Linked DNA regions of Canis lupus familiaris. The protein of the gene in region 2 purifies or fractionates together with the protein of the main gene of each other region. This does not show direct contact. Links are inferred from orthologs where the notes say so. Each region holds a gene or a part of one and is shown on either strand. Other genes may lie near its edges.

Region 1 (5,189 bases), on a different chromosome or scaffold from region 2:
AAGATGGTATCTGAGCTGGGCTGAAAAATTTGCCAGGCTTATTAGAGGAGGAAGGGCATTCCAGCATGAGCAAAAGCCCAAAAGCTTCAAAGTGCACCTCCACTGTCCAGAGCAGTAAGGATAGATTACCCGGTGTGGCTGGAACCTGAGAGGGGTAGGAGGGGAAAGGAATTTGGACTTGATTCTAGAAGCGAAGGGGAGCCCTGAGGGTATTTCAACAAGGGAGCAGCCAGGTCAGATTTCTTTTAGCTAGATCTTGCTAATGGCCCCATGTTGAGCACACTGGCATTGGCGGGAGCTGGAGGCAGGGATGCAGGGTGGAGATGATGACGTCAGAACCTCCTTCCCGGCTGTGTGCCCCTACCCTCCTCTCCCATCTCCAGTATGGAGCACCTATAAACGCTCAGAACAGACGAAGTAGAAAAAGTCAACCAAGAGTGAATGCTGCCTGGAACGGATGGATACGATACCCGCTTCTCCATCGCCAGCCCGGTAGCTTGCACCCCAGACCCAAAGGCTCCAGAAAGGAACGACGGCGGGGAAGGAAAGGGGCCTCACCTCGGCCTCCCGCGGGTTCCAGCCTCCTGCCGCGCCCTCACCCTACCCGCCATCCCCGGCACCCTCACCCCGACAGCTCCAAGCGCCAACCCGCACCCCCACCGCCGGCCTCCCTCCTCCAGCGCCAGGCGCCGCGGCAACCCCGCCGGCCGAGCTGTGCACGCCCAGCGCCAGCGCCCGGGAACCTGCCCGGGGTCCCGCGCCTCGGTGCGTCCCGCAACTCGGGTGCCCGCTCCTTGGAGCCCCGAGGCGCTCGGGTGGTGCCCCGGACGGCGGCCCAGCCAGGCGGGCCCTGACACCCTCACTCAGGCTACGCGCTTCGCAGTGTCTGCTTTTATTCCCCTGCACACAGAGCCCGCAGGGGCCGCGCCTCCCTCCTGGGGCTGAGGCCGTGACGGGGCGGGGCGGGGGTGCCGGGCCCGCCCTCGCCCGAGGGACGCGCGTCGGGGCGGATGCGGGGGCGACTTCTTACTGCACGCCTTCCATCATCTTCAGGAACTCTGCGGGGATGGAGCGCGGAAGCGTCAGTCGCACGCACCGCCGGGGCTCCCGCCCTGCGGACAAAGCCACGGACGGCCGCGTGGGAGCCCCGCCCCGCGCCCCGCGCCCCGCGCCCCGCGCCCGCCCTCACCGTCGAAGTCGATGCGGCCGTCGTTGTTCTTGTCGCCGTCTTTCATCAGGGACTCAATCTCCTCGTCTGTCACGTGCTCCCCGGAGGCCCTGAAGATTTCAGCCAGCTCCTCCGCATCGATGTAGCCGTCTGCGTTCCTTGGGGCGAAGGGACAGGGTGTCAGGACAGGCGGGGGCGAGCCGCCCCCCACACCCCCACACCGCCCACCCGCGCCGCCTGGTCCGCGCACTCGCCCAGCCCAGCGCCTTCTCGGCTCCCCAGCCCTCAGTGCACCTGTCGAAGATGCGGAAACACTCGGCCAGCTCCTCCTCGCTCTTGCCCTTCGCATCCTCTTTCATCTGGCGCACCATCATGACCAAGAACTCCTCGAAGTCGATGGTGCCGCTGCCTGAGGCGAGCAGGTGGCGAGTGAGCCTGAGCCCTGCGGGCCCACCCCGCCCGCCGCAGTCGCAGCCCCTGGAGGGCCACCTGCTCACCATCCTCGTCCACCTCCTCGATGATGGCGTCCAGCTCCTCTTTGGTGGGGGTCTGGCCCAGCATCCTCATCACCGTGCCCAACTCCTTGACGCTAATGTCCCCGCCACCATCAGCGTCGAACATGTCGAAGGCAGCCTTGAACTCTGAGCGAGGCAGAGGACCGAGGTGGGCCTGGCTGGACTGTCAGCCTCACACCCTCCCTCCCACCCTGCCCAGCCCCCAGCACTGCCCAGCACGCAGCCACCCGCCCGCCGGCCCGCACTCACCAGCGATCATCTCCTCGCTGAGGTAGGACCGGGCCTCCGCCTGCTGGTCCGTCTGCAGGAGACACAGAGTCAGCCAGCAGAAGGGGTGGCCCCAGAGCTCATTCTTGCCTTAACCCCCTTCTCTTCAACCCCTTTCTGTCAGTGCCCTTTGGTCTTCCAGAAGAACAGTTCCAAACTAACAACACCTTCTGCATGCTCCCGCAGCACCTGAACCCCAGTTTTGAAGAACAAGGAGGAAACAGATTATGCCCAGGGTCTCCAAACCTGCTAATCAGATGTCAAGTCAGGAATCCCCCTTTCTAACCTTGGGCAAGTCACTTATTCTACTCTAGCTCTTCTCAGCTGCTTTTCAAGAATGAAAAGATCAGAGACGTCAAAGAGTTTTGTAAAGTACCAGCACTATTCCAGCATCATTTTTCAGTGTCCCCCAGCTCCCAGTAGAGCCTGGTACTATAATAGGGGCTCAGTAAATGTTCTCAATAATGCAAGGCAGAGTCATTGAGCCCCAACTAAGCGTCAGGCCAGACACTGGACACTGAGGCCAAGAAGACCCAGACACCCATCCCTTCCCTCCGACAACTTGTGGAGATGGAGATTTTAAGCTCCCTTCTTATCACTTAGCCATTGGAGTAAATCATAATCATGCTGGACAGAATATAATGGGGGCCTTGTGGAGGTGGAAATAAGATTTCGGGGGAGGCGATCTGGCCACATCCAAGCCAAGCCATCTGGCTATGGGACTTTGGACTGAGGCTGGCGGGGAGGAGGGGCTGAGGTGGCCAAGGCCTTCTTCGGCGGCCAGCTAGCCACTGCCCTCCTCCTTACCCTCCCCTCCTCCCTCCTCCTTGACCATGCAGGAGGGCAGGCTATTTTTAGCCTGGCATGGGCAACAGCAGCTGTCCTGTGGGGTCTAGTTACCCCTTGAAGTGGGGAGAGGGACCTCAGGGGAAATGACCTCCCTCTCTGGGAGGCTGGGGTCTCTAACCTTGGTCTATCATCTTCTGCCCCTTCTCTCCCTCATAGCTCTTGGGATCCTGCACCTTAGCTGGCTTGAAGCTCTGTAGGCCTCCCTTCTTCTAGAGGACTCCTCTCACCGGCAGTAGGATGATTTGGCAAGACCTCCAGCTAGCTCACCCCAGCCACTGGCTTGCTAGGTGACTCACTCTGGCCCTCAGGGTCCCCACCTCCACCGTGAGGGAGACAAGCTAACACCCCCCTCACAATTCCGTGGCCAACACTGCCAAAGCCTTAGGTCTGCAGGGAGTTGGCAATCCCAGAGCACCCAGCCCTCCCCTTCCTAGAGAAGTCCAAGGCCTTCTTCCCAGGCTTCCTCCTAGACATCTAGGCTCCAGGAGCCTACATGTTCCATCTTTAAACGTCCAATTACTGAACTACAGAGCACCCAGATCTGGCCTGGAAGAGGTCCAGAAGTGCTCCAGCAAGCAAAGGGATGAAGTTCCTTCTTGTCCTTACCATGGTTGCAAGTCACTGGGCCTCCCCTGCTTCAGGTCAGTCACCTCCTCAGCACTCCACCACCCAAAGATACCCTGGCCTGCTCCAGCACCTTGGATTTGTAGGGGCACCCTCTCCTCCCACCTCTCTGCTCCCCAGGACTAATTGCCCTGGCCAATCAGATCCTGGGGTCAGTGAGCACCTCCTCCTTTCCTCCCCCACCCCCATTCCAGAGTCCTGGCCCATTACCTAATTTAGCCAAGGGCCCTTGCAGAGAAATTTAAGCCTGTGAGCAGGTGGCAGGCCTTGACGTCCTAGATTCTTGGGAGAAGAACCCGCCCTGCTCCACTGCTTTAGGGAGCCCCTGCTCAAGAAACACGCTTGCTCCAAGATGGGTGAGGATAATCAGAATCCAGAAAAGTTGAAGCAGCATGGCAGACAGGAAAGAGCACGAGCCTTGAAGTCTTAAACCCAATACTTTCTTTGCAAGCTGTGTACTCTTAGGCAGGTGACATGCCACTCTGAGCTTCAGTTTCTGAGCTTCAGTTTCCTTCTCTGTGAGGTGGAGATGGGGACAGTCATGACCCGCCCTCACAGAGAGACCAATGAGAAATGGGGCCCAGGTGTAAGTCGCCGAGCTTGTGCCTGCTCTATAGGGTTGGTGCTTGGCAAGTGGAATGTCCTGTCTGAACCATGCTAGAGGGCAGGGGAGGGGAGGAGGAGAGAATGACAGCCAGTCACTGAACCTCTAGGTTCACACTCCATGCTAAGCATTTTAACCATGTGATCTCACCTAGTCGTCATCTATAGGGGAGAAGCTATTATTATTCCCTTTTTACTGGGGAGCTTTGTTAAATCACAAAGGTCTATAGTCATGTCAATGATTCTTATTATTCCTGAAGGGAAGTTGGGACAGCCAGGAGGGGACCTGTCCAAAGGAGAAATCTACAGATCCAGGAGATGGGTATGCATTTGGAAGAGAAATAAACATTGAGGGATGCCTGGGTGGCTCAGCAGCTGAGTGTCTGCCTTTGGCTCAGGGCATGATCCCAGTCTAGGGATGGAGTCCCACATTGGGCTCCCCACAGGGAGCCTACTTCTCTCTCTGCCTATGTCTCTGCCTCTCTCTCTCTCTCTGTATCTCTCTGAATAAATAAATACAATCTTTTAATTAATAAATAAACATTGAAAGCAGATCTTTCGAGTTTACCTGCTCCAGGGAAACGGTGTTTGTGATTCACTTTTTTTGAGGGAGAGGGGGACTGGGGGCAGGTTCTCTAGGTGGGTAAAGGGGCAGCAGGCCCTTTCCTAGAGCTCGGTGAAGAAGTCTGGAGCAGCTTGGCCGGCCATCTGGAGAGTGAAGGGATGGGCAGAGCAAGTCTAGTCCATACTGAGCCCAACACCCAGGGTCTGGGCTGGGTGTTGGAGAGGTAGCCGAGGCTGTGGACAGCAGCTAAGTCAACAGAAAGAGCACTAAGGCAACTGAGCGCAGAGCCCAGGGCCAGCGAAAGGAGGCTGGATTCCAAGGAAAGGCAGATAGACAGTGGCAGCTGGGCTGCCATCTTCCTCTATTTATAGACATTCCCAAGAAAAGCTCAGTGGAGCCAAGCCGGGCTACATAAGGCCTCCCCCTGCCAGGCAGAGGGCCAAGGGGCAGCGACACTAGGGGAGTCCAATTTGGATGTGAGCCCTGGAACCACAATGATTTCTTTGAAGCAGAGAGTTTGGAACGCTCCACAACCATTTGTTCATTAATTTGTTCTTGCATTTATTCAGAGAAATAGATAAGGTCCAGATTTATCTAT
Region 2 (5,554 bases):
TTTGGCTCAGGGCGTGATCCTGTAGTCCCAGGACTGAGTCCCGCATTGGGATCCCTGCATGGAGCCTGCTTCTCTCTCTGCCTCTCTCTCTCTCTCTCTCTCTATGTCTCTCATAAATAAATAAAATATTAAAAAATAAAAAGATAAATCCTACAATGAAATTTAGATCAAGCTCATAAAGATTACAATAGCTGGCCTAGCTTCTGAATCCATGGTAAACCAAACAACAATCTGTTAGTTCAGGTGACTCTTGTGAATTTGGAGATTGTAAGTGAACATATATATCGTTTTCTTCTAAATAACTTATGAAAAATTATTTATCTTCATTCCCACAACATAACAAGATGTTTTATGAACTCTAGTTTTCTTTGATAGGAGGAAAAGTAGTAATTTATCAAATTTGAAATCACCTGCAAAGCTTGAATACTGGTATTAGAAAGACACATGCTATAATGAAATAATTTGAAATGTAAACGTTACAAGAAACATCTGTCAATTTTATCTGTGAATTATTTAGCAGTAATTCATTATTAAAAATGCAAATAATGGGAATAAATTGAAAAAATAACCTACAATACTGTAAACAACCAAAATGTTTGAAGGCTCAAAATAAAAAAGGAATCTACTTTCTAAAATACTATTTTTTAAAAACTCATTGATTCAGGTACTACTAATGCGGATTTTACTATTTCCTGAATGCTAAACCAAGATTAGCACAGGGGTGTGGGAGAGTTAGATAAAATAATGGTGTAAAGAAGATCTACTAAGGTCAGGAAATTACTTCACAAGCTATTTTCAAGTACTTAGAAAACCACTTTTAAAGGATGCTGTTTTGAGAATACACTATAAAGAATATATTAACACACACTTAAAACATTAAGATAAGAAACCTCATACACACACACACACATGCATGCTGATATTTGAAAATCTGTAATTCAGACTTTCTATTGATGTCAGGGAACTCTTGCTCTTCAATTTCCCTCTACCTAATGCAAACATCACACTTAAAGGAGGAAGGGAAAAAAAGGAAATGTAGAGTTTCATATTTTAACTCATATTTCATAGATACAGCTGAACTAAATGAACCAGAAAAAAACATTAATATATAAACTTATCTAAATCAGTACTTAAACAGTCCAACTAATACAGGACCAAACAAATTTACTCATGCAGAACACACAGTATTAAAATTCGTTTGGGACGCCTGCTCAGGCGTGAGCTGAGGGTGGCTCAGCGTTTGGGTGTCTGCCTTTGGCTCCGGGTATGATCCCAGAGTCCCAGGATCAAGTCCCAGGATGAGTCCCGTATCTGGCTCCCTGCATAGAGCCTGCTTCACCCTCTGCCTGTGTCTCTGCCTCTCTCTCTGTCTCTCATGAATAAATAAATAAAATCTTAAAAAAAAAAAAAAAAGGTTCGTCTTATTAAACTAAAATTAAGTTCTTTTTCAAAAAAAATTAAGAGAGGGGCAGCCTGGGTGGCTCAAGGCAGTTTGAGCACCTGCCTTCGGCCCAAAGCATGATCCTGGAGACCAGGGATGGAGTCCCATGTCAGGCTCCCTGTATGGAGCCTGCTTCACCCTCTGCCTATGTCTCTGCCTCTCTCTCTCTCTCTCTATCGTGAATAAATAAATAAACTTTAAAAAAAATTAAGAGAAATACTGCACATCTTTTTTAGGTTAATGATTTAAAAAATCACTCTCCACTAATGTTTAATTTTAAGACCACTCTAGGTTACTTATCCTAGAACAAATGCACAAGCATGTATAAGGATGTTCAGTGCAATGCCTCAGTAACAACCAAGATCTATTTCCAGAGGAAAGGTTTGAGTCTACTACTGTACTGTCATACAGTTAAACATTATGTGGTAGTTTAAAAGACTGAATAGGTCTATTTTTACTGCCTGGAAAGATCTCTAAGACCTAATGTAGAAGTAAGTTGTAAAACAAAGTTTACAAAAGGACACCATATATACAAGTTTCACAGACACACAAAAGCACACAGAACTTTGGCATTTCTGTATGTACATATGTGCTTGTAAAAATGGAAAGATAAAGGTCTGGAAAAATATTCAGGAAACAGAGAACAGTTACCTCTAAAAGTGTGTGTGTAAAACTGGAATGGGAGGGAATCACAGGGATTTCTGCTTCATTTTTATTATGTCTGTACAACGAGAATGTATTCATATGTCACTTGAGACACTAAAAAACAAGAATAAGAAAAAAAAAATGCTTGCTCAGTTCTCTCAAATCATTTACAAACCAGAACCGTTAGGTGTAAGGAGATTTCATTTTCTTCTACCGACTTGAAGGCAAAAACCAAATGTCATCAACAGTACTTCCTTAGCAGAAAGTGACAAAACTGGAAAGAAAAACGTTTTAAATGTCTTACCGACAAATAAAAAAGAACAAAGTGGCGCTGGAGAGACGGCAGAGGAAGAAACCAAAAAAGACCCTTAACTCAAAACGTCCACTTTCAAGATCCTGGACTGTTTGAGCTAGCTCAGCTTGACCCAGAATCCTCATATAACCAATTTACCCAAAACGGGGGGGAAAAAAAAAAAAAAAAGTGGAATACTGTTCCCTCAAGTATTGAAGGTTGTTTTTAGAAAGCTTAACTAAGAAACCGTAAATGCCAAGTGTGTTTTACAGGGGTGGGAAGAGGAACATGAAACCCTACACCTCCTGAAAGCGGTCAAAACGAACTGAAGAGCACAGGGGAACCGGGGAAGCGCGCGGGGGTGGGGAGAGCTCGGCTATCACTTTTGGGCTTTGGCTGGGCGCCGCACCACAGTTTACGCCGAGTCCGTGTGGTGCACGAAGTCCCTCAAGGTGGCCGCCGCGCCGCGGCCGACACCCCAGCCCTCCGAAGACTGAGAGGAGGCGAGTGCTGTCAACAAAAACTTAGTCCTTCGGCGGAGCGGGGAGAGCGCTGGAGGGGAGCACAAGCGCCAACTTTGGCTCCAAACGAAGCAGCTCCGGGAGGCTGGGCAAGTCTTCTCCCGAACCGCACTCCACACGCGCCCCCAACACCTTTCCCGGCCAGTAGCGTCTGCCGCCCACCCGGCCCCCTGAGGGAAACCCAGCAAGGGCGGCGGCCGGCAGCACGCAAGGGGGCTTGGCCGTGGGAGGACACCCGCACCGGGGGCGCCAGCCAACGTCCACCCAGCACCCCGGGGTCTCCGGGGCGGCCCCGCCGAGGCGCTTCCCCACCAACAGCCCCCGCGGCGCGGCCCCCTCCCCCCCTCTGGGCGGCGACCTCAGCGCCTCCGCCCCCGGGCCCCCGCGCCCCCGCTCACCCAGGTAGCGGCTCCGCAGCCGGGACGGGTCCTCCAGCCCGAGGGACCTTTTCCTCACGTCCCACAACAGGTGTGGGCAGGAGCCACCCCGAGACATGGCTCTGCCGGGCCGGGGTAGAAGGGGAGACCACCGCGTGGGGGAGGGGAGAAGGGGGAGGGGACACCGCGGATCAACACCCGAGCCGCACCGGCACCATCCGCGCGCCGGGCCTCGCGGGCGCTGCGAGTTAGATGGCGGCGGCGCCCTCGCCCCCGAAGCCCGGCCGCGCCCGGGCCGGAGCTCGCCTCATACTCTCCTTCTCAGACTACCCAGAACATCCAGAGATCAGCAACAGTCCCCTCCCTCGGCCCCCCTCCGACAGGAGGAGGAGGAGGCGGAGGCGGCCGCGACTCCTCCCTCTCCTCGTTCTCGACACCCTCCCTTCCAAGCGCTTCTCGCGAGATGACGACCACCCCCGGGGCTGACGCTCGTCTGCGCCACGGCTGACGAGCAGAACCCTAGGAAAGTGGGTTCTGTAGCTAACTCCTTGATTCTCTACGGATAAGTGAGGCATAGAGAGAGGAGGAGCTGAGATGTGAGGTCTCTCAGTCACAAGGCTCATTCCAAGGGAAGCAAGAGCGTTGTGCGGCGTCATCTTTAGTTGGGGCACTGAAGGCCCGGAAAGCCCATTTTAACTGCGGGCTGTCTTAAAGCGGAGGGGGATTAGAGCCCGTGCAGCTTCACTTTCCCTTCTCCAACATGGCCTCGAGGGCAGGAAGGAGAAATTGGAGGTTCGCGCTGGACCCCGCCCGCACCACGAGGCGGGCCAATCACCGTGGGGCGGCCGTGCTTGCGCAGGCGCGCTGCCGCCGGGGCGCCGGGTTGGCGTGGGGAGGCAGTCCTCCAGGCACCTGTTGCCATGACTCCTCCTCCTCCTGGGCAGCGGGAGTGAAGGAGGCGGGCCCGGGGCGGGCCGTCGCTGTATCTCCGCCCCCTCAGTGCTTTCCTGGGTTCTCGCCACCCCTGTGGTTCGCAGGGGGCAGCCTGAGCCGCGGGAAGGGCAACCTCGGAGAGAGGAGGACGCTAGGCGCTGTGGCAGGAGAAAGTGACGAGTGCCCTTCGTTGTCATCCAGGGAGCAGCACGCGGCCGCTCTCCCTCTCGACCGCCCACGACCACTCGTCCGCAGAGATGTCAGCCGCTGGCGCCCGGGGCCTTCGGGCCACCTACCACCGGGTCCTGGATAAAGTGGAGCTCCTGCTGCCGGAGAAATTGAGGCCGCTGTACAACCACCCGGCAGGTAACAGACCCGGAATAGCTCTCAGCGAGACCTTCACTCCCCCCCCCTCGTCGGAAATAGACCTTTAGCGGCCACGGACAACTCCGCCGCTGGAGGTATCGCCCGCAGCCCCAACTACTTCCCTTCAAGCGAGCCCGGTCTCACTTTCCCGTCCTCCCTGCTTTTCACTTTATCTCCTCCAACATCTCTCGTTAAACCTGAGATTATCGATTCTGTGCCCTTCGCGACCTTTGCTGCACCCCATCCCTTAGGCACGACCCACACCCCGGCCCGGGCCTCTGGGTTTGAGCCTTCTCGCTTCCCGCGGCCACAGATCGGCCTGGGCCCCCACGAGATTCTCATTCTCTCCCCTTATCCTCCACGAGTACTGGTGTATATTGATCCACGCGGATCTTGTCGCACCGGTTTGGAGTAAAGGTCACACTTCCCTCAGCTCCAGCTGGCCGAGGCCTGCAGATGCGTTACCCGGGTTTCCGAGTCAGTGTCATACCTAGTCCCATAGATCCAGTTTGTTGAAGGCTGTCCTTTCTGACTGATTCTCCCTAGACTTTTTCATGTGGGCAGACCCGGATTTAATTCTGTTGTGCCTCTTACTATGTAGCTGTGACCTTGGGCGAAATCCTAGATAGTTTAGTCCCTGTAAAATCTGCTCAGTGTGAGAATTAAAGATAACATGCGTTTGAGTCTTCATAAATGCCTAACAAGTGTTAGCTCTCACTTGTCCTGCTGGAAAACACTGTTCTTGTGGCTGAAAAAAAAAAATAGTATAAGAAACTGGAAGATCCCAATCCTTCCAACTCTTCAAGACCTAGAGTTTTGTTACCTCTTCTATAAAACGGGCGGTAATATTACTTGGCTGGTAACTAAAACCCGAGGTACTGAGGTCTATTTCAAGCTTAAAATTTAGTGAATGAGAAAATATGTTACAAATTGAAAGGTTGAAGTGCACCCCAAAAGTGACTCTTTTTTCCTTCCTCTG

Evidence for each region.
Region 1: the proteins of DCAF6 (region 2) and TNNC2 purify together in Homo sapiens (affinity purification with mass spectrometry; 3 studies listed by BioGRID and IntAct, with this or other methods). This does not show direct contact. The link is inferred for Canis lupus familiaris from reciprocal best matches to the Homo sapiens genes DCAF6 and TNNC2.

Annotation. Positions count from the first base shown.
Region 1 is NC_049245.1:33,759,031-33,764,219, forward strand, and holds TNNC2 (troponin C, skeletal muscle), read right to left. Parts: upstream 3,530-5,189; 5' UTR 3,409-3,529; coding exon 3,406-3,408; intron 1,985-3,405; coding exon 1,933-1,984; intron 1,810-1,932; coding exon 1,666-1,809; intron 1,578-1,665; coding exon 1,463-1,577; intron 1,327-1,462; coding exon 1,190-1,326; intron 1,059-1,189; coding exon 1,027-1,058; 3' UTR 870-1,026; downstream 1-869. UniProt on the Homo sapiens protein: Troponin is the central regulatory protein of striated muscle contraction. Tn consists of three components: Tn-I which is the inhibitor of actomyosin ATPase, Tn-T which contains the binding site for tropomyosin and Tn-C.
Region 2 is NC_049228.1:30,468,227-30,473,780, forward strand, and holds the start of DCAF6 (DDB1- and CUL4-associated factor 6), read right to left. Parts: upstream 3,688-5,554; 5' UTR 3,395-3,687; coding exon 3,298-3,394; intron 1-3,297. Other genes in the region: MPC2 (mitochondrial pyruvate carrier 2), read left to right, coding at 4,467-4,575. UniProt on the Homo sapiens protein: Ligand-dependent coactivator of nuclear receptors. Enhance transcriptional activity of the nuclear receptors NR3C1 and AR. May function as a substrate receptor for CUL4-DDB1 E3 ubiquitin-protein ligase complex.